4 linked regions of the Drosophila melanogaster genome follow. The protein of the gene in region 4 interacts with the protein of the main gene of each other region in a pairwise test. Each region holds a gene or a part of one and is shown on either strand. Other genes may lie near its edges. The genes, in order: cas, CG6191, E23 and KP78b.

What was found.
Region 1: the proteins of KP78b (region 4) and cas interact in a two-hybrid assay, tested with the Drosophila melanogaster proteins (one large-scale study listed by BioGRID).
Region 2: the proteins of KP78b (region 4) and CG6191 interact in a two-hybrid assay, tested with the Drosophila melanogaster proteins (one large-scale study listed by BioGRID).
Region 3: the proteins of KP78b (region 4) and E23 interact in a two-hybrid assay, tested with the Drosophila melanogaster proteins (one large-scale study listed by BioGRID).

What each region holds. Positions count from the first base shown.
Region 1 is NT_033777.3:5,712,467-5,718,756, forward strand, and holds cas (castor), read right to left. Parts: upstream 4,340-6,290; 5' UTR 4,147-4,339; coding exon 3,295-4,146; intron 2,756-3,294; coding exon 2,062-2,755; intron 1,992-2,061; coding exon 1,558-1,991; intron 1,487-1,557; coding exon 1,085-1,486; 3' UTR 509-1,084; downstream 1-508. UniProt on the Drosophila melanogaster protein: Transcription factor that specifies expression of key genes in developing central nervous system (CNS). Essential for many, if not all, late developing neuroblastoma (NB) sublineages.
Region 2 is NT_033778.4:13,590,306-13,594,910, reverse strand, and holds the start of CG6191 (uncharacterized protein), read left to right. Parts: upstream 1-1,571; 5' UTR 1,572-2,017; intron 2,018-3,032; 5' UTR 3,033-3,138; coding exon of another isoform or gene 3,139-3,204; 5' UTR 3,205-3,466; coding exon 3,467-4,311; intron 4,312-4,605. Other genes in the region: fand (fandango), read right to left, coding at 1-1,082, 1,141-1,185; CG45088 (uncharacterized protein), read left to right, coding at 3,139-3,204.
Region 3 is NT_033779.5:3,351,799-3,356,758, reverse strand, and holds the start of E23 (early gene at 23), read left to right. Parts: upstream 1-1,929; 5' UTR 1,930-2,285; exon of another isoform or gene 2,286-2,920; intron 2,921-3,044; 5' UTR 3,045-3,366; coding exon 3,367-4,283; intron 4,284-4,960.
Region 4 is NT_033777.3:11,347,101-11,354,689, forward strand, and holds the start of KP78b (KP78b), read right to left. Parts: upstream 6,032-7,589; 5' UTR 5,913-6,031; intron 4,063-5,912; 5' UTR 3,546-4,062; coding exon of another isoform or gene 1,428-3,545; 5' UTR 1,239-1,427; coding exon 1-1,238. Other genes in the region: KP78a, read right to left, coding at 1,428-3,545.

The sequences.
Region 1 (6,290 bases), 5.6 Mb from region 4:
ATTTGTACATTTCACGCAGGGTTTCACTTTGCAATGTAAACTAAAAGCAAATACCTAATGTATAAAATGATGATACTTGCTTGTACATTGTTCTTGACTAGGATACAACTTTCTGAAATCTCTTTTGTTATGCTTATGATTATGGTATTTGGATTGTATTGATTGTTTACATATACATATATGCGATTATGAACTATAAAAAATACAAAAATACAAGCAAAGGAAAAAATAATTGATTTTGTGTAAAGTACTTAAATATTGCTTAGCGGGACGGTTTTTATCAGGCGTCCTGAGTTTGTGTAGCTGATTTCTGTTAGCATATGAGTAAAACCAACAATTACATGAAAACAAAATAAAGTCATAAATTATTTAATCAAATGTTTAAGTGTTTTATGTGTGGTTGGGTATACATATATGTTAGTTACTTTATATATTGTATTTTCCAGTAACCCCCAATAACTCAAGCATTTTGTGTTTAAATAATAAGCTCTGAGGCATAATAAAATTTATTCAGGTAATGTTGACTTATTTATTATAGAAGAATGCTGATTTTACTAAAGTTTATAATTAGAATTATAATATTATTCCCTTAAATTATAAAGCAAAAACAATTAGCCATTATTTATTAGTATATCACATACAATGTAATGCTTAGACGCTATGTTATTGACAATCCAAGTCTCCTAAGTCCTGCATATCCTGCATAGCCTGCACTCGCTCTATCAATTAAAAGAGGCTACTCTAATGAAAACATCACAGTTTAGTCAAACTTAAATTCAGAAAGTTCTTCCTTTTTATTTAAAATGGCTGAAAATTTTAAAAATTAATGTGGCACTGAGAGAATCTAAGCTAAAGGGGAAAATGTTTGGCAAAAGCCAATTCAGCTACACTTTGTATAGGGGACTTCTAGGTTCTCAAAGTGTGGCTGAGTTGGTTTTTGTGGAGGGAAGGATGCCTTGTCCTGGATCTGCCTGAACCCACAAAAAAACCCACCTAAACCTGCTTAAAGCGCGTATGTACAATGTCCAACGTCCGTCGGTCAAACTAAGTAGCTGGCAAAATACCCTAAGGACACGCATCCTTCCTACTCCTTAAACTCTGGCTTAAAGCTAAACTCTGCCTTCGGCTGCTGGACTCCGGCTCCATTTGCCGCCGCTGCCGCCGCCGCTGCTGCCGATGCGGCGCTAAGTGCTGCCAGGTTGCCGAGCATGGAGGAATTCTGGGTCATTCCCGGATAGAGGTTCTGGTAGAAGAGGGGATTCTGCAACTGGAAGAGGGCCATCAGGTGGGTGAGCTGGAAGTTAGGGGCTGTGGGATCCACTCCAGGAGCGGCGGCAGCGGGCAGGAGACCGGGAAAGAGTCCACTTGTCAGCGGATGCACAGCGGCTGCTGGCTGGGACTGGGGCAGGAGCATGGCGGGATTAGAGGACTCGTCTTCGACTTTCAGGCGCTTGGCTTCCGACTGCTGAGCGTCGGCTGGCAGTTGCTGTGGTGGATTGAGAAAATATGCCTATTTAATGTCGCGGAAAATTACCCAAAATATACAGACAAACTTACGATTTTCTTGGGTGGCCTGCCGCGTTTCCGAGCCAGGAAGTGCTCGGCGGACAAAGAGGAGAGTGGAGTGGAGGTGTTGCTGCCGCCGCATACAGAGCTGCTGCTCTGGGATTGACTAAGGCTGGTGGGCTGCTGCTGCTGCTGCTGCTGCTGCTGCTGGGGCATGGCATCCAGGGAGGACTCCTCCACGTCCTGCTTGATCTTAAACTGCTGGTACGCCTGCTCTCCGTCCTGACGATCGTGCTTTCTCTTGTGGCTGATCATCTGGCTGCTGGAGTGCAGGATGTAGTCGCAGCCCTCGCGGACGCAGTGGATGTGGTTGCAGACGGTGGAGAACTTGCAGGCGTCGAAGGGACATACCTCGGTCTTCAGGATCTTCTTGAAGCCGTCCATCTTCAGCTGGTGGTCCTTCAGATGGTAAGTTTTGTGCTTGTCTAAGCAAGGAGAAATACATATATGATATATTAACTAAGTTCAGCTAATAAGCTTTCCAAGTAGACTTACCCATATCGGCCTTGTTCTTGAAGGTGTGGGTGCATCCCTCGCGACAGCAGTGGTAGTGGGAGATCTTCTTGCCGAAAAAGGGGCAATCCTCGATGCGGCAGGTCTCGTGCGCCCGGAAGCGCCGGAAGCCCTCGTTCACGATCTCGGAGTCCTTGCGGTGGAAATTGGCATGCATCTGGACGTCACTGGTGCTCACATACACCTTGGGACAGTGCTCGTAGACGCAGTGGTAGTGGGTCTGTTTCCAGTTGTAGGCGCAACCCTCTCCGTAGGCTGGTGCACAGTCGTCCGAGGAGGAGAAGCGGGCAAAGCCCAGCTTGAGGCTTTCCTTGCGCTTCTTGTGCCACTTCAGGTGCCGGATGATGTCGTCCTTCTTGCTCAGGATCTTGCCCTGGCAGGGCTCCTCGTGGCAATGGAAGTGCTCCCGCAGGTTCTCCTGCCTGCACAGGCTGTTCTCGCACTCCAGGTAGGAGGACACTTTCCGCAGGTTCTTCAGTACCTCCTCGTTCTGGAGCAGAGCATCCAGGCCGCTGGCCGCCGAGAGGCTCACCAGGCTCTTGCTCTGCTCACTCGACGGCGGCGTCAGCAGGGATATTGTTTGGGTCGGTTGGAGGGGTGTGTTGGGGGTCAGATCACTGTCGACGGGTGTGATGAGTCCGTACGATGAGTCCGCCGGCTGCTTGACGGGCGTATACTGCAGTGGGAAAAAGAGGGTGGAAGAACTTTAGAGTCAATACCAACACACGGATGCATCTGTGAGATCCCCAGCTCAGACTGCCTGGTGCCCAGCTGGGCAGCGATCGAGCCACCAAGAGAACCCACGCGTTGCCGACACAGCTGTTTCTTTTCCCCGGAATCGCGAGCTTTCTGGCTACTCTCACACTTAAATCTCAAAAATCACGAATCGTTTTTTCTCAAATTACAGCAACAGAGCGTGGGACATAGCCAAAAAAAAAAAAAAACAAAGCAAAATAGGGAACAAATATAGTGCTTTCTGAATTGGAAATTGGAAAATGGTCTATTTTGCAACTGGAAAAGGTTTGTGAAGTATGGCGAACCAAGCTGTTGGGATGAATTTAGAATTTAAATCAAATGTACTAATACAAAAATGCGCAATATATAGCTTTTTGACTACGTAGTTGCCACTGCAAGTGACAGTATCTTTAAAATTGATGGTGATAAAACGAGATAAAAGAAACTGTTAAGATCCTTCTAGATCCCCGGATCACTTACCATGCTGGGTGAGTCTAGGCTGTCGGTGGTTGACTCCAGCGGATGGACGCCCGACAACAGCAGCTTCTCGGAGCTGGCGTTGGTGTGGCCCGAGGAGCTGCAGCTGGTGAGGCTGGACAGCGGCTTATCATCGTCCTCATCGTCGTCGGCGGACTCCTGCTCAAACTTGACCTGGGCCGCCGAAAGGTTGCCGGCAGTTGCTCCGGCGGAGGGTGCTGGTGTGGCTGCCTTCTCTCTCTCGATGGGCGTGGAGGTCACTGTGGATGATTGAAGGAAGTTATTTGTGGCCATCTGTTCGGAGCCGGCAAACTGGCCCAGCAACAACGGATGCTGCAGTGGATCCTGCTTGCCCAGCGAACTGGGGGTGTGGGTGGGTGTTAGTAGAAGGTTGGAGGTGGTCAGCAAATGTTGCTGCTGCTGCTGCTGCAACATGAGCTGCGTCAGCGGCGGCAGGCTTTGGAGCAGCATCTGGTTGACCAGGTTGCTGGGGTGGCTGTTGGGAGTGGAAGGAGTTGCCGCTGTAGCGCCTGGGTATTGTTGTGGTTGAAAAGCAATCAAATTACTATTGGGACTACAACTACGGCTACTACTACAGTTGGTGTTTTGCGAGCTAATGCGCTTGTGCGTTCTTGTCTTGCGGAGATCTGGCTGTGGCTGCTGCAGTTGCTCCTGCTGCTGCTGCTGTTGCTGCTGCACGGATGTGCTGCTAGAGATATCCTCGTTCTGTGTGTAAGTGTATCCAGCCAGCTGCTGCTGCTGTTGCTGCTGCGGAAGCTGGAGCTGCATTTGCTGCTGCTGCTTCATCAAGTTCATCATGTAGAGTTGCATAATAAACTCCATTTGGTTGGACATTTTTGTGGCACACTTTCGCGGATATATTCAGCACAGCACTGGGATTTCTTTTTGAAAATTCTTTAAGATTTCTTCACTATATTCAGCACAGATCACAGCACGGATTTCGAATTTCGGATTTTGGATCGACTTTCTTGCACGGCGTCTCGTCTCAGCGATCCTCAAAGTTCGGCTGCGAGGCTCAAACTGCTTCAACTCTTCCGCGGCCTCCGGCTAATATAGCAAAAATTGCGCAAATCCATGCCCAAGTGCAACCCTCTCGCCACCGGTTCTCTTAAAAAACCGATCTCGCCGCTCTCGCTCTCTTAAAAAACGAATAAAATGAGAAGTCCGTTGGTGGTGGTGGTTCGACCTTCATCCCCTAGTTTTTTAACCGACCCTTCGCAGGAAAATGCTCTGGGAAAACCCAGCTTGTTTTCGGCTGGTTTCCGTTTTTTTGCTCGCTTTTCTCGACCAATAAAACGCCAGCGGTAATGTAAATTTATCTAGAAAAGAGAGGTTTTTCGGTAAAAAAAAATGCGAAAGAGGAGCGTGTATTTGTGAAGGAATCCCGCATGGCCAACGTGCGTTAGAAAGGGACAGCAAATGAAAGAAGAGCACAGATCAGCAGAGGAATTTTATCCAAAATCGCAGGCAATTTGCAAAGATATTACGGCAAATTACGGCAAAGTTACGTGCAGAAAGTGGGTAAATAAGTTATCTGGGCACAAGAAACTGTATAGTTAATTATTTTAAATTTTTTGTTATTATCTCTATATATTTTCTATTCTATCAAAAAATACATATTCTAAGATGAATATTTTAAATATTTCGACGTCTACAGTATTTTTTTCATAAGCGATTTCAAAAAAGATTTTCAAAAATACTTTCTCACACTAAATATTGGCATCGGCAATCTTATTCGCCTATTACCATAAATATAATCAAATCTTAGAACGTTTAAAGTATAGAATCGCATCTTTGTTCCCTTTTCCTTCACATCTCTATGCAAATTGTGTGCACAAAAATTTCGGCAAAACTGGGAATCGAAATGATTTTTAAGAAATTGGCGCGTTGCAAAAAGGATATCAAGCTGGAGCAGCTGCCTGTCCTTTTTGAAATAATCGAATCGAAATCCATTCAAATGCAAAAAATAAAAACCCAAATTTGCAAATTAAAATTACAATCGAGCAAAAAATCTGCATTACAATCGTGCAAAAAAACACAATTAAAAATGCCAAATATTTCCTAAGACCCATTGCAAAAAAAAATTACCATATAAAAAAACGTTTGCAGAAATTCTGAACTTGAGCAAACCCCTAAAAAACATTTTCGATTTGAAGCTGGCGACATCTACGTGTAACATCCGCTGCGCAGGATCACCAAATCCTTTGCGGATCGTAATTTGCATAAATTATTGGTGTAAAACATTTGCATAATTTTGGCACATCGTCCCGAGGCGGAGCGGGCGATCGGGTAGGAAGTTCGACATCCGGATCACCAGCTCCTCCAGCCAGTGTTATGCAAATGGACCTGCACTACATCGGGGAGGAGGGTTTGCTCCGCATTACGGATTCGGGTGCGCCGATCGACTGCGCACGCGCGCTATCTGGAAACTTATGCAAATCAGGAAGGGAATCCCCGAATATCGACGAATCGATTGCCGGAGGACGAGGGGCGGAGTACGATTGATTTTGGATTTGCATTTTACTCGGCAATGGGCAAGGTGAGAGAGCAGAGCAGAGTACAGGCTGCAGGATCAGGCCTGGATATGGTTTGTCACTTGGTTGGCGAATTGGGATTGAAGTGGGATTGGGATTTACCAATTGTTGCCATAATTGAGTGACATGGATAACGCAGCCAGAGCAGAGAGGCAAATAAAGCGGGTTGGGAGCTATTGATTACAGAAAAGGTTCCATGCCACATTGTAAAATGGCAACGGAGTACGGAAATCTGCATGAAAATGCGAACAAAAGCCCATACATTTAGGTTCATTCACAGTCTTACTTCGCGTTTATGCTTTTGCATTTGGATCTGGAATTTACATATGACAATTTCATATTCAGTTACAAATGTTTCGAAATAGAAAACTTTTGTTAGTCGCCTTTGTTAAGTGTTGTTGCTGGCCAGCTCAGTTGATTGGAGTTATCGCAGGACGAGTTCAG
Region 2 (4,605 bases), on a different chromosome or scaffold from region 4:
GTACTGATGATCTCGGCGGGCTTGTCCTCGTACAGTGTCACCCGCTTGTGCCACTCGTGCACGTTGTGCGGATTCTGGCGCAGAAGCACACTATTCAACAGCAGCAAACGGCGCTCCATGAGGTATTCGAAGCGTGAGAGCCGCAGTTCAACGTCAATGTCGTCCTCCTCGGTGGCCGCCTCATTGGCAGCTACCTGCTCCATACGTCTGTTCAGCGAGAGTTCCTCGAACTGTGCGTATTCATCAAAGACTTGGGTGAAGTCTCTTACGGTGGTCACAGTTTGAATGGCTTCCTCGTATATATCTCTTGCCCGATCAAATAAGCCGGAACGCACATAGTAATCCGCCAGAGAGTTCCACAGGTGGCCCAGCTGATCGGTGTAGCGACGCAGCCCACCGCGAATGATGGCGTCCACGTTCAAGGAGTGCACCTTGTGTGGATTCTTCGAGATGAGGTCGCACAATTCGTTCCACAGCTGATGATTGGACTTGCCGTGTTTGGAAACGAAGTGCTCGTTGTCGACGATGTGCGCCAGCTGCTGGGCAGCTTCGTCCAGCCGATCTGCTTCCTGTAGGTAGTCCACATATTCCTCTGTGTCCTCGGGAAAGAGTTTCAGATATCGACGGTAGACTCGCAGTGCTGTTTCCGGCATTTCAAAGCGGCGTACAAACTGCAAATACAGTGGCCAAATCCTGCCGTGCTGCGTGATGGGCAGAGCCCTTAGAGCCCGATCGAAAACGTGCCGGGTGCGGGTAATCTTGCATTGCGAGGTCATGAAGGCACCGTAGTCCATCCAGATACGTGGCATTTTGTGCATAAACACCAGTGCACGTTCGAAGGCACTGTTGACCTCCTCGTACATGGGATCCGTGGGTATCTTGCCGCGCACCTGCTTCCTGCGAGTTCTCAGGTAATTGTGCCAGATCTTATAGCTGCCAGGAAGCTCTTTCAGAGCACGCTCATAGACCATGTTAACACCATTATTCGGCGCCTTCGCTTTGTGATCAATGTAGCGCAGCCAATGTTTTACGGAGTAGGCGTTTCGAAGGATTTCCTCCTCATACGGCACATCCTCCACTTCCTGTGTGTGAAAAACTTGATAGGTTAGTTGTGATTTACATATATTTCATGGTACTTACGAAATTGATCTCTAAATTCAGAGATTTTATCGTTTTTGTCACCATTTTTCGCGATTTTCATGAAATGCCGCAAACAATAATTTTCTCATGCGCGTCCCACGAAAACAGCTGATCGAAATGGCGTTGCCAGAAGGTTTGAAAAGTAGTGGTATTAAGATACCGCAGCTAATACCAAAGTAATTAAATCCTAATTAACATGTAAACAATATTTTAAGAATACAGAAAAATTGTTCATAAAACTAAGATAACTTTGGCTTGTGTACATTTTTTTTACAAATTGTGAACATCTAGAATTTTCTAAGTGCACCTTATTTAAACGTTGAAGTTATGGACAAACCAAAACAATCGTGAATTTTCTAGAGTACCATTGCGGTATATTTTGCCTCCCTTTGAATTGGTATTTCGCCCTTCGTCCGCTGCCCAACACTGGCCTCAGTTTGTGAATTTTTCGTAAGCCCATCTGCAGATGTTTTCGTCGCTGCTGCCAATATTTTGACGTTCATACCGTTTGCGTATTTCGCAGAGACCAGTTAACGCGCTCGTAAAATCGCAAAAAACACACTTAACGCGATCGTTTGTTCTGTTTTTGTAAACACATTGCAATTGGCCTGCATTTTGCATAATTTACGCAACGAAGGCAACTGCGTGAGTGCACCAACACACACACACACACACACAGCCGTGCAAAAGAGAGCCAAAGAGAGTGAGGAGCGCAGGCGAGTTGGCAGCCAAAGGCAAAAAATCAAAGTCTATCGAAAAAAACACTATAAAAATAGATCAAAATGACGCGCTTGAAACATTTCTCAGCATAGAACGACTATCAATCGAATTAAGTTTTAAGTAATACCCAACGACCGTGGAAAAACCAAGCACAGTGGTAAGTAAAAGACGAGGGGAAAACACGAAAAAACACGTCACACGTGTGCGTGTGCTTGCAAGTGTGTGTGTGCGAGCGTGTGAGTGGGTGGGTGTCATAAATATTTTCGCACACACTTGTTCCTGCATTGATTTTATATTTTTCGCACAGGCTCAAACTTGTGTGTGCCGCCGCACTCCAATTGGTCCAGGTAAATCCAATTAGACTGGATCCTAGGTAAAAAAAAACCACCACCGGAAAATCTATTTCCCCGCTTCCCGAACAGCTGTTTATGATGGTTCTCAAAAATTTTCCACTCGCTCTTGTTGCCCGAGGGAAAATTTTGGGCATTTTAGGGCCTCCCGTATTGAATGTAAACAGAAAACACACACGAAAGTGCGGAAAAGCGCTTAGATTTTCCTTGCCGGCTGTGGCCCAATATCTCTCTCTTTGCCACCCCCTCTCTTCGCACTGTTGCCACCCACTAAACTGACACACTAAGCCGCCCGCCAGCAACAACAGCAACAACAAAGGCGGCTAAAACCACTGCAGCTTTGAGCCGCATGCAGCTTTTTTAACTGCCAGCGGAAAAGCTTTATCAATTCAGTTGGCTAAAATCCCAGCAAAGATTCGGGTTTATTTCAAGGAAAACTTTTAATTCTTAAAATTAAAAATGCCCGTTGTTTTCAAATGAGATTTTTTAAAATGATTATTATGTCTAAAAATTGTAAATAATCTAAAAGAGTTGAAAAAACCATAGCATATTCACTTAAAAATAGCTTAAAAACATTGCTAATTATAAAATATCATATTGAGATGACTTCTGCTAACAATATTATATCATATTCAATATTTTGCCCACTGAGAATGAGAATGTGCTGACCACAATTTCCCCTAAGCCACCCACTGCACTTCAACGAATATTCCAGAAACGCTCGGAGAAAGCTTCTCTTGGCCAAAAGCAGCTTTCCTGCCGCTTTTTATAGTCTCATTTATTGATTCCATTCCTCTCTTCTGTTCTTATTTCTACTTGCAGCCAAAGCAACGCATCGACGCATAAACGCTAGTTAATAATAAAAGTGCATAAAATTATTCGTATTCCAACCATCTTCCGTCATCTAAAGTGCTAAAAATTCGTCACCATGTCGCGTTCAAGTAGTTTGTTTTTTAATTCGGCTGCCAAGTTAGAGACTAAAAAACTTAATTGATTCGATCAAGAAAAGTGAGCAACCAGCAGTGAAAATACACAACAGCAGCATAATCACTTTCGAAACCAGTTTTTTCGTAAAGAATCGCGAAGAGTGTTCCAGAAAAGTGCAACATCACATTCCCACACAGTATATGCACACACACACAAACACACTATATATACATATAGGTACATATATAGCAACATCGGAGCATCCAGGGAAACGACCCACAGCACCCACTTCGGTTAATCTCGCTTGGTAATTAAGGGTTCATCGCCTAATGGCAAGTTCGCTCAACAAGACGAGACACAGGCGCAGACTGGCTGCGATCTCGTTCCTATCGAATATCTCGTTAGATGGCACCCATCGGGACACCAAATTCGGCGCAACATTCGGCAGCAGCCTGCTCTGCAACCAGAATAAGAACCCATCCTCGCTGGGACTCGGCTCGGGGGGCTTTCATCCGCACTATCAGCAGCACCACCATCAGCGCAGCCACTCGGCGACGCACCACAACCACCAGAAGCGGCATCACACGCAGCAGCAGCAGCAACAGCAACAACAGCAACACACCCAACAGCAGCAGCAGCAGCAGCAACATCAGCAGCAGCATCAGCAGCAGCAGCAACACCAGAATGGCGCCCTCTGTTCGCCGCTCCTCTGCAGCGCCGATGTCCACATGGGCATCGATGGCGGCATCGGGCTGGGATTGGGACTGGAGGACTGCACCACCGGTGCCAGCGATGGGGACGGGCATTTTAGTGAAACTGAAAATATGGGTCAATACCTGATGAACGTCCTGCCGGCCGCCGATCACAATCGCAGCAGCATTGTGCCGGCCGAGAGACGCAACATAAAGCGCCCGACCTCGTCGGGTCGTCATAACCACCAGGCACCGGGCAATGGCAATATGGGCAATAAGCTCCAACAGCAGCAGCAGCAGCAGCACAAGTTGCAGCAGCAACAGCGGCAGGCACGAAGTTGCGCCGCCGGCAGCGGAGGATCGGGTGCCGAGAGTGGCAGCGATTCGGACAGCGTCAAGATACCGCTCAAGGTGTCCAATCTGGGCAGCGGCGGTGGCGTGGCCGGCGGAGCGGGCAGCAAGCTATTGCCGCTGAGGGAACGGTGAGTAATCAATGCACAATTCATGTTTGTCATATCAGTGAACTATCTTAGCTTATTATGGTTTCTAATCAGCATTTTGTTAAGCAGTTGCTAGAAGTTGTAATCAAATTAGCTGTATGAAGAGGCAACTGTAAAGATTCTTACCATAAGTTTATATAATATTATAAATGTTATATTAGATCGACTATAAGGGAACCTACCAAAATATTCAAACAGGAAATGTGTTAAGTTATTGCAGCTTCAAATTTATGTTTTTCCAATTAAACGATCTTCTATCTTGTAGACACTCAGAAA
Region 3 (4,960 bases), on a different chromosome or scaffold from region 4:
TAATACACATACGTGTATATAGTCGACTAAGAAATTAAATTAATAGAAAATTTAGCAAATAACATACAAAATGAAAGACCAAGAAACTATTCACATTCCGACATCGCTTAATAAAATTTGTCTAGAAATTCAATATTTGCCGTACGCTCACACGTACACTTAGAAAAATGGCCCACCATACGCACTAGCACACATCAGAAGAAGAAAAGAGCAAATTAAGGAGAAAAAGAAAGAAAATAAGAATCTTATCAGCGGTAGAACAAAAACAAAGTTCAGTAAAAAAAACGAAACAAAAACAAAAAGAAAGCCACCAGAAGTCGAGAGCAACAACAAATTGGCTGTGTGTTTTTTCAAGGTTAAGAGCAAGTGCGTGTGCGTGAATTGGTGCCACTGTATGGGTGTCTCGCACATTTTGCACATTGTGCGTATAAATAAAAAACAGTAACAACAGTAAAACCACCAACACAGCAACAGGAAAAAATAATTTTTTTTATAGAGAGCCGAGAGCTACGCACCGAAAACGAGAAAAAAACATAGCGGCAACTTGGCGACTTATTCGCTCCAAGTTTATGGCAACACAATAAACTTAATAATTTCGCTGCAAACTGAACAATCATCATTATTTAGGCCTAATATGCAATTGTGCGTTATTTTCCATCTGATTTGGTCAACGACCCAGCGCAGGTGACACATTTTAAGGCTTATAATTGTATTATCGTTCCAAGTTCTAAGTGTAATCTCCTCCTCCCTCGTTTTCCCCTTACCGCCCTCTGGCCACCCACGCACACAATCGTATCCGCGGATTGCACGCACACACGGTTCGTATACGCATTCAAATTGCGTATACGCAGCGGTTACCCTCGAGTTTAATGACTGATAAGATTGGAAAGCGGGCATTTGCCTAACAGCATTAAGAAGAAATTATGAAGCGAATCTTCTAGAGACTTAATTTGTTTTAATTGTACCCTATTAAAGGCTCGCAGACCAACAAATATTTTATTGTCAACTTTAATTTCAAGTACTTAAAAAAAGGTATAGAAAATTTCATTGTTGATCCAACTCCTTGATAAGTACAATATAATTTGTAAAGAAGAAAAATTGCCTTCAAAAGATATCGAAACGTAGGACAGACTCAAAAATTAGTAAAACTTTTTGTTTCGCGAGACACATTAAATCGCCCGAAAACCGCTTGCTACTCCAAAAACGTCTCGAAACTTGTTGAATGACTTCTGGGTTGCCAGCCAAGACCTTAAATTTCTATCACCAAGTTGAAATTCGAGATCAGTCAAACTAAATAACCAACTTTTATTGGTTCGCTTTATTTATCAACGAAGATTACCAAAGTTCGTTGGGAACTGAATATGGATAACAAAATGTTGAGCCCTGTTACTGTTAGGGAACAGCAGGGGAAGTGATCTCGCTGTAAGCCCATAACATTTGTAATGCAATGTACGCAGAGATAACTTAACATTCATGTAATAGAAAGAGAGCAAGGGAGAGAGACTGCACTTAAAAAAATATAACTACTTATTACTATAATTCGTATTAAATAGTGTTTACACAAAAGAAGGCCAGGGATTTTTAATTTTAACGTAATCAATTATTTCTTAACTTACTTTATAAAATTTTAACTTTATCATCTAATTTTTTAATTTTTATCATTTTTCGATACTGCAGAGATATCTCTTACATGCCTTCTGAATGCAAGCCATAATTTGTTTGGTTTTTCATTCCTCGACTTAAAACATACACCTTAGGGCGATTTTTCTCGGTGCAAGCTCCATACGCACGTGTGGTGATCGTAGGCGGCGAGAATGAGTGTGGGGGGAGAGTGCGCGAGAGCGAGAGCGCGAGAGAACGGGAATGAATGAGCGGCGACTTTTGGAGCGCTGGCGCAAGCGTTTAGCTTTAACGGTCCGCGATCAGTTCAGTACGTTCAGATCAACGGGCGCCGTTGGATGTTTTCTTCAATGTTGAAGCGCGCCGAACTCGCGTTGTGTGGAAAAGCGGAATAGCTCTCTGTTTTTCGTCGTGTTTCTACGTTACTTTACTTTTCGTTCGATCTGTCCGTGTTTCGTTTCGGCTTTATAAATCGAGTAATTCCCCATCCAATAATTAACACGCGTGTTATCAAAAATGTTTACAAGAAACCTACATATGTTCAATAAGTAAGCCGAAAAAAAAAGGCAAAGAAATCATTTAAATTGCAAAAAAAGTGCTGACGATTTTTAATATCAAATTCGAAAAAGCAACAAAGAATTTTATTACCTTCCTTCGCTTTTTGGGTGCGTTGTTATTGCAATTACTGCATTTACCTTATATTATATGTTGTTCAAACACACTGAAATCGCTAAAAATGAAAACTGACGTTTTGCTCTGGCGCTTTGTTTCGCGCGGGCTAATTGACAAATATAACAAAATTCGCCAGGCGTCTCCACTTCTCTCTGATTCTCCCCAATTCTCACCGATATTCTGCGATTCCTTTTCATTATCTTTTTCTGTGCCGGTGGCAGTGCATATAGGAAATTGTCGGAAAAGTTCTCAAGCCAAAAAGCTGTGTAGAATCTGAGTTTTTGAGGAGATTCCTCGAAGTCGAGGCAAACATTTTCAAGTTTAAATAAATTATTAAAATTGCAGAACGTTTTTACGAATTAAGTGAAGCCTGAAATGAAGTGAATAGTTTCGGTGAGAGCTGGCGAGCATCTGATTCCAGTGAATAACAGAGATATCGCATGAATAACGCGTGAATAATTAGCACTGCAACTTGAATAAGCAACGAATTCCTAGTAACAATAAATTATAAATTGAATGCAATTCACTGGGATTGTGCAGCAAAAAGCAAACTGCTCATAATAATAAAATCATCACTTTGTTTCCGTGCTTGCCTGACTTTTTACCTTCCGACATCATTGTCGAAAATGTAAATAATTTTGTGTATTCATAATCATGTAATCTCTTAAATCTTAAAATTATATCACAACTTGTTTCACTTGGCTTACATATTAATTATATCTGTACTCTTCTCTGCTCTTACTATATTACAGTCGGCCACAACTCGGGAAAAGAAAAGAAAAAGGAGGCAAGCCAGACAAGCCAGGGAATTATGAAATTTTAAAGAAATCCCCAAAAAAGCCAAGTTCCCAGAGCCGCAAAATATGTTTAATGCATTAAAATAAACGAAACGAAACGAAACGTGTTTAAGGCGAGTGCAGGCAGAAGACGAGCAAAAAGTTGTATACGCATATACACATAGATATATTTAAACAAGATTTACATTTAAAATCCCCCCAATACACACGTACGTATATTTAAAACTGTGGCGGCAACACCAACAACATCCAGCTAAGCGTTCACAAAAAGGTGATAATGATTATTTCCAAGGATCTTTTCATATTTGGCGAACAAATTTTTGCAACAATCATACCAGAAGGTGGAGCCGCGGCGCTGGCAACCCAGCAGCAACATCAGCAGCAGCATCAGCAGCAGCATCAGCAGTCGCATCAGCAGCCGCATCAGCAGTCGCAGCAGCAGCAGCAGCAACAACAGCCGGCAATTATAAATTCAACAACGACGACGGCCACTTCGTTGGTAATAAACTCGACAGCAGGAGCAGCTGAACAAGTTGTAGAGGAGTCATTAAAAGTAGCAGCAGCAGCAGCAGCAGCAACAACAACAACAACAGCCGCAGCAGCAACAACACTACCAGCTAAACAGGAAACAGTTGCAGTTGCTGCCGCCTGTGTTGCTCCTCGCAAATTGGCAAAAATTCAGAAAATTCCAAAGGAACCCGAGGAGCTCAAAGCCAAGAAAAAGGCAAAGTGTGAGGCAGCAGCAGCGGCGACTCATTACGAAAAAATGCCAATGAATTTGATGATCGTGGAAAGTGTTGAGGCAGTCGATATGGGATCATCGGACAATGACAACGAGACAACGGAGCAGGTACCGTTGGTGAGTGCCAGCCGTCGCAATCTGGCCAAAATAGTGGCCGACTGCCGCCTCCAGATCGAAGTGGAGCCGGCAACATCGGCAGTGGCCGCAGCAGCAGCAGCAGCAGCAAGCGTTGCATCCCCGCCTGCAACATCGGATGCGACAGCAGCGACATCGGTGGCCAGCAGCGACTCCTCTGCCTCATCATCAGCATCTTCGACGTCGTCGTCATCTTCCAGCTCAACGTCCTCAGAATTTACGCACACATCACAGACAACGATACCAAGTACGGATAATCTAACGTCATCCAATGGTCTGGCCAATATAGGCAAAAGCATTTTAGTTGATGCCAAAAGGTGAGTGTTCAATCAGCGTTGACCCAATTTCCGAGCCAAGCTCGTACCTACATAAATTCAGGTGTGTGTGTGTTATGTTTTGTTTTTTTTTTTTGTGTCCGCACTGATTGCATGCAGACTTCGTCTTAATAAGGAGGGGAAAGTGGAGGCGATCCAAGGGTAAATCAGGATTTTTCCAAAAAAAAAAAAAAAACAGTTCTCCGGATGAATATGTGGCGTTTCCAACCGGTTGCATTCGGTTGACAGTGAGTTGCAGCTCGTTTTGTACAGTTCGAGCGGGAGCAAATTACTCCTACTCTTGGAGCTCAATGGAGAATCTATGTTCTTCTACTCTTGGAGCTCGATAGCGAATCTATGTTCCTTTTGATTGAATCGGTTCGTACTCAAGCTGTCAAGTTTGCTTTCAAAGTCAGCCATCAATTGCGATATACTTTTGGCTGAGCAGTTTTAGCCTGCCCTAGAATTTCAATTACATGAAACAGTGTGCCTTTTCGTTATCAGATTTTTAGCAGGCAGTGTAGGCCCGAACACTTTTGCAGTATTAATTGATTGCCCATCGGCTCGAAAACTCGTTCTAGAACTGAAGCTTCCTGCCACTAACTAGGGTATCACTCAGCACGTTGGGGATATCCCCTTCGGCAAATCCGAAAGGCAGCCGTATCTGCTTAATTACATCT
Region 4 (7,589 bases):
GTAACATTGGGAGCAGCTATAGGGACAGGAATCCGACTGCTGCCTGGCATAGCCGTAGGAGTTTCCCTAAACGAAGATCCCGATTTCTCGCTGCAGGCTGTTGAGCGCGGTTTAGCAACGTCCAGGAGCATATAGGTGCAATAGATGTCGTCGAACTTCTGGTTCTTCAGCGACTGCTCTACATCACGAGGTTTGTGACCCATGTTCGACAGCAAACTCAATCGATTTACATCATGCAGATCCATAGGTTTCTCTTGAAACGGTCTCAAACCGTTACCTTGTTCGTAGCCCATGTTGATCCAGCGATCCGCCATGACAGCCGATAAACTAGTACGTTGCGTTGGATTCAGAACGAGGAACTTCCTAATAAGACTCTCGCATTCAATGGAGACGTAATACGGAACACGATACTTGCCACGTAGAACACGGTCGCGGAGCTCCTTCAGATTGGTTCCATCAAAGGGTAAGGAACCACTCACCAAGGTGTACAGCACCACACCCAGTGACCATGAGTCCACCTCCGGTCCAGAGTACTTCTTTCCTCTGAACAGTTCTGGGGCGGCATACGGTGGACTTCCGCAGAACGTCTCCAGTGGCGCTTTTGGTTCAAACGTGGTGCTGAAACCAAAATCAGCGATCTTCAATTTCATTTGCTGGTCCAACAACAAGTTCTCTGCCTTTAGATCCCGATGCACAATGGACTTGCTGTGACAGTATTCAATAGCAGACACCAACTGGCGGAAGAGCACCCTGGCATCTCGCTCCCGCATCCTTCCGTTTTTGACCAGATAATTGAAGAGTTCTCCCCCGCTGACATACTCCATTACCAAGTAGAGAGTCCTTTCCGACTCGATAACTTGCAAGAGGCGCACAATATTCGGGTGGTTGAGCTTTTTCATTATATTTACCTCTCGGTACAACTTCTGCCGGGCAATCGTATTTAGCGCAGTTTTATCGATCAGCTTAATGGCCACTTCCCGACCGGTGGGCAGATGAATCGCCAACTTGACTTTCGCAAAGTTGCCCTTCCCAAGGGTCTTGATGATCTTGTACACTCCGTAGCCGTTGCCATTTACATAGGACTGAAACTTAGGGCTCGATCTGCCTCCACTGCTCCCAAAACATCCCCCCACATTCTGGGCAGCTGCAGAAGGGGGCGTGGCGGTAGTGGATATCGATGTATTGGGACCGGGATCGTTCTCCTTGTCGGTCGTTTTGTTTGTGTTTGCTGCCGTCATTTCTGGTAGGATTAATTTATCTAAATCCCAGCAAAGCGTTCGCCGCACACTTGTAAGACAAACTGATTTGCTGAGTTTTGACTTAATTTCGTTAGAATGCTCGGTCAGGGCCGACTGTATCACTTTCTTTATCACTCTATCATTCTATCTCTATCACCTTGACATTGCCCCAAACAACCCGACTTCTGGCTATTTGGTGAGGTTCTTGCGCTGCTCGGTGACATCCTTTTCGTTCAAGTGGATTACCCTTCGACCGAAACGTGCGGTCAGCTTGGAGAAGAAACCTACCCGCGAGGCGGGCTTGGTGTCGTCCGCGGATAAGGGTGGCGTCTGATAGCTGTCCTCCTCTCCGCCTGCGCCATTTCCTGATCCACCGCCCCGTTTGCCACTGCGCGCTTGGCCGAAATGAAAAGTGGCCCGTGCCACATTTTGTCGGGTGAAGGGCTTGTCGGAGGTCTTTTCCACTGCTCCACCTCCGGGAATCCGTTCTAGCAGTCGAGCACCCATGGCCGGCGACTTGGGCACCAGAAGTGGAGTGACTGCAGGTTCCGCTTTCTCGTACAGGGTCGTGGGCCGCCTGGAGGATCCCTGAGCTTGATTCGGAGTTTGGGCAACGGGGTACTGGAAGCGCGGAGGAGTGTTGGCCAGCTTTTGGGTCTGGGCCAATTGTCGCTGGGCACTCAGCAGCGTGGGCTTCACATCCATGTTGGCACTGGCTCTCTTTGACTGCGGAGTGTGCGGAAGACTCGAAGGCTCCGGACGTCCTTGGCCGCTCGTATGGTTGGTGGCCTTCCGGGCTGGTGTCCTGGCTGGAGTGCGTCTTGTGGGCTTGGCAGGCGGTCCCGTTGGTGGCGTTGAAGTCGGTGTATTGGGTGCATTTGCCAAACGTGGCGCAATGGGTCTACCCGATGCTGAGGAGGAGTGGATGGGCGGATTCTTGTCCAGCGCAAGCGTGACATGAGCTATGGTAACAGTGGGTGTGGTGATATTAGGAAGCGGGCTACTGACAGCTGGAGTAGTTAAATCCACTGTTGGTATAGCCTCCGGTTTCGTACTGCGGTTCGAGGAGCGCGGCTTGGCCACGCCCAGGAGCATGTATGTGCAATAGATGTCGTCGAACAGTTGCCCCTTTACAGACTGCTCCACATCACGGCGCTTGTGGCCCATGCTCATCAGTAAATCGAACCGGGCTGCATCCTGCAGCTCCATGGGCTTCTCGCGAAACGGACGCAATCGGTCGGATTCATCGTGGCCCAGATTTATCCACTTATCCGACATCACAGCAGAAAGCGAAGTGCGCTTGGCGGGATTCAGGACCAGGAACTTTCTCATTAGGTTTTCGCAGTCCATTGAGATGTAGTAGGGCACACGGTACTTGCCCCGCAGGACTCTTTCCCGCAACTCCTTTAGGGTGCCTCCATCAAAGGGCAGCGAACCGCTGACGAGAGTGTACAGCACCACTCCCAGCGACCAGGCGTCCACCTCCGGGCCGGCGTACTTCCTGCCCATGAAAAGTTCAGGGGCAGCATATGGTGGACTCCCGCAGAACGTTTCAAGCTGGGCGTTGGGATCGAAGGTATTGCCGAAGCCAAAGTCCGCTATTTTAATGTTCATGTGCTGGTCCAGCAACAGGTTCTCCGCCTTCAGATCCCGATGAACCACAAACTTGCTGTGGCAGTACTGAATGGCGGACACCAACTGTCGGAAGATCACCCTGGCATCCCGCTCCCGCATCCTCCCGTTCTTCACCAGGTGGTCGAATAGCTCGCCACGACTCGCGTACTCCATCACCAGGTAGAGTGTCCTCTCAGACTCGATGACTTGGAAGAGGCGCACGATGTTCGGGTGGTTCAGCAGTTTCATGATCTTCACCTCGCGGTACAGCTTCTGACGTGCACTCGTATTGAGCTGCGTCTTATCGATCACCTTGATGGCCACTTCACGACCGGTGGGCACATGAATCGCCAACTTGACCTTGGCAAAGTTTCCCTTACCGAGTGTCTTGATGATCTTGTACACACCATTGCCATTGCCATTTACGTACGATTGAAACTTGGAATCCGTATTTTTACTACTACATGCACCGTCACCCAAATCCTGGCCAGCTGCCACAGTAGGCGTGGCTGGTAGGGCGGTGGCATTTGAGGTAGTGGGCGTGGCTGGCTGAGCAGTGGCGCCTGTTGTGACGATAGTACCCGTGAAATGGGAATCCGGATCGTTCTCCTTGTTTGCTGCTGTCATTGCTGTTTTCTCACTCTCCTTACCCGAAGATAAGTCTAGAATTCCCAAGCTGTTGTCCACGGACATTATAATACTGGGAATTTTGGAGCTCCTAGTCTGAGGTCGATTCTGATTGCCCAGGCGAACGTTGCTCCTATTCAGTGGATCTGCAAGTGTGCCGAGCACGCGTCGTTGGATGGTAACTATCGCCTCCCCTCAAGCTGTAATTGCTGGGTTTCGTCGGTCATCCGTCATCGGGGCCGTTGTTTGCACATCTGCTCTATTTCGTCACCCTCCCGACAGTCTGAGCTTTAAGATAAGAACGCGTGTTTGCAACCCTCAGCCACCCCGAATCCCGTGCATGGCTGATAAGCGGCTCGTCCTGCTCCTTGCGGCAGGATCACTTTGTCTCGACGCACGACCGCATGAGTCGTTAGTTCTTTCAGGAGGCGCTATCAACAACCCCCTGCTTCATGTGGCACGAGCCCTTTGTGATCCTCCGGTGCGATCGTGTGCCCCTGTTGTTCTTGTTTGCGACTGGCGAGGATATATCCCAGCTGGTGGTATTCGGTTTCCTTCGTCAGCGAGGAGTAACAGCTGCCTTCTGGTGAATGGAGAGAAGAATGATTCGATTAGATGTTGGAAGTAATCGGAATCGGGAATTCAATGGTTGCTCTTTATAGAAACTCGGTATTAGGGTAATTTCGTTTCAAATGAATAAAACTAATAGTTAAATGTACATTTACAACCGAATTAGCAACCTTTTTTTTTTCAGTGAAAATTTGTTTATTTGACTAGTCCCAAATTATAAATTGTAAGGGAATGCCAAAAAAAAAACTATCAAAAATATGACTTATTTATTATACATACGAATTTTTGTTTGCGAGAGTATATATTTTTATCCGTATTTTTCTAATCACTAAGAAAGTTCACAGAAACATTTGAATATTGCATTACAGTTCGTATTTGCTCTTATCGACAAATTTTAAAACTTGACTTGTATTCATAATATAGTGACGATCTATCAAATTATTTCTATAGACCTTGCACCACTGTGCACTAAGTGATTTGCTCTCTCCCCTAACAACAGAATTTCAATCGACCTGAAAAACTAATCTCTTCCCTTGTGACAAAGTATTTTCTTCGCCTCTCTGTTCTTTCAATTTTATTTTTTGCATGTCCTGCCGATCCCTAGCTACACTCACACACGCACACACACACATGCACGTCATTACCTATGATGAAACTACCCTAATGGGTTTTACCTACCTATGGATGTATTGTAAAAAATAAAGTACTACAAAGGAACGGGTCCTTAATCTGCCTTTTCTTTTGGCCTACTCGTTCGCTTGCATTTCTCTCTTTTGCTTTGCGTTTGTGTAACGATTTCAGGTTTTCTCTGCCTGCTCCTTTGTGTGCGTGTGTGTGTGTGTGTGTGTAAGGGCCTGCGTGTCCTTGATCCTGCTGACTTGTTTTGCTTGCAACCTTTTCTCGTCATCCCTGCTTTGCCTTTTGTCTGGTCTCCTTTTCCTCCGGCTCTTCGCTTCCTTTTTCAGCTCCTTTGCGTATCCCTCTCTCACTTACGGTATTTGCGTATGTGTGTGTTTTTGAGTTTTTGTGAAATGTTGAAATTTTGAAAATGCAGCTGCTACTTTTGGGTCTTTGTATTTATTATTTTTGCCTGCTCTTCTTGTTTTGCTTCCCCTATCATCTTCTTTTCTCTTTTTCGCAATAACAACATCGCAGATCTGTGGAAATTTGCAATAACAACAACAGTAACAACAAGTACTTGGCTTGGCTTGGTTTTAATTCTGGGAACTGTGATCTCTTGTTGGGCTAGTGATCGCTCCCCTTTTGCCGCCAAGTTCAATGCACCCCACCTAGAGTTACCCCCACTTTTCCCACCCCACACCAGACCCCCCTCTCTCTCTCACACATTCTCTCGATTTTCCCAAGATACCAACACATGTCAACATGAACATGTGCGGGTCTCGGTCTCCCATCTCGTTTCCCCCTTTTTCGCCTTTGTTTTTCTGCCTGTCCATGGGATCTTTGGCTTGTTTTTTCCGAATGCGCCTCTCCTCTCCTTCCTTCTGGCTTCTTCTATTTTGATTCTGGTTCTCTGGCCGTTCTTCTTTGTTTTTTCCTTAACCACTGAGTCATCGGCGACTTTGGGGATCTTCAGGCGCCTCATTCTGTCTGGCACTCATTCGTTAACACACTTACTTCGCACAAAGCGATACAGATACATACAGTTGATCCATTAGCTGACCTTAATAAAACGCCTCTTGTATTGAGATCCAAAGAACGCCCCCCTTAAAGACACGCACAACGGACGCAAGATAAGGCATTCTGGTACCCAAGGGATACGATCGGACTTATCTGACAATGGATGCGAAACTCTGGAACTCACAGTGACCACCGCGTGCTTGCTTAATTACGCTCTTTACTTACGCATCGGTCCATTGGCGATCCCCCCTGGCGGCAATCAAAAACGAATTAGCGTTAATCCACTCCACAAGTGTACCATATCGTTTCGTATCCGTATCGTTGAGCGAGACCGAACTTTCAGATACAAGGCGCGCCGTAGTACTGAAACGCATTGAGCGGAATATCTGAAGACAGGTCTTGAACTGGAACTGAAACGTCTGAGACGGGCTGAGCAAAGAGAGAGCGAAGAGCGTCTTTGTGCTCTTCTTACGCTCAAAAAAATGGCCAACTGATTGCGATCGTGTGCTCGTGCAGCGGATTTGAAAAGAAACGCATTATTAAGATTTACGCCTGCTTCAACTTTTCTCTTTCGTCGTCTTTAAACATAAAATTTAAAAAGAGAAAATTAAAATTTTAAGCAGTTTGATTTTCTCTCTTTCTTTTCACTCAATTTTTGAATTATGTTGCTCTTCCTTCTCTCAATATCGTTTCCTTGAGCGTTTCTTGAGGTGTGACGTCACGGATGCGAAGGGGAGGCACTTCGGGTGTTTCGTGCTTCGTCTTTGTTCGTCTTTGCGGCGAATTTGGCCTTTGTCGTGGTCTTCGTCTTCGTTTGAGTTTCTTCATTGGTATGGGTTATCTTGCGGTGGTGGTGCTGGCGACTGCGATGGTGTATGTGTGCCATCAAGACTTCCCCATTCGTCGTCAACAGCTGTGTCGTCATCGTGTCATCGGTGTGGGAGTAGCCGATGGCCATATCTGTCTGAGCTGTCCGAGTGGTATTGGTGCACCAATAAGAATCGGCCAGTGGTTCCAGTGCTTCTTGAATAACAGCCCCATCCCCCGCGACCATCTCAACGCAATCCGTTGGAGCGCTCTGTTTTGGTAGGGAATGATTAAAAAGTCACCACAACAAATAACAATAATAATAATAAAATGCATTTCTTTTGGCCCGCAAAAATTTCTTTCATTTGGGCATCGCTTTGGCCGGCTGAAAGGAAAAATTATAATGACAAAGTAGGCGACAAGAAGGATTGGATGGGTGGGTGTTGGTTGGTCCGATTGTAGACGTAGACGATGATTATAATAACAGTTTTCTGTGATTTCTCCTCGATTCCCGATTCGTAGTCCCCTCCTTGAAGGCAGGGCTTAATTAAAAAGCTTTTGGCCATTCACTTGGAACAAAAATTAACCCTAACTTCAAGAACATTTCCATTCAAAGTGCATATCGTTTGAAGGCAAGAAAATGAGAACTTTTAATTCATCGCCATATTCAAGCACTTTCATTTCAAGAATTAAAAGTCAACTTAAAAAAGTGAACTTATTTGAAAGAAATTTTTGCTTGCCAGTTGGAAACTAACAATATTCTCTTGGCTTTGAGATTCGAAATTGAAGGTGTTTTGGGAATTTTGGTGGGGGAGAATTTGCATTTAGATGAACCGAAGAAGCCAAGACAAGTAGGCCACAGTGAAATGCTAATGAGAAAGCGGGTAATTCAGCATGCAGTCGATAAGGCGGCTGCCTTTGGCAAAAGTATCCGCCAGATACACGTGGCACGCACACCAGCTGACGCCCCAAAAAATAGGTGAACATAATGCGATCCGACCGACGAAATCACAGTTGGCCACCAGAGGACACGCGCCACCTGATCAGGATGCGATATCTTTCTTCGGCAATATTTGATCGTGCTGAATGCGGAAA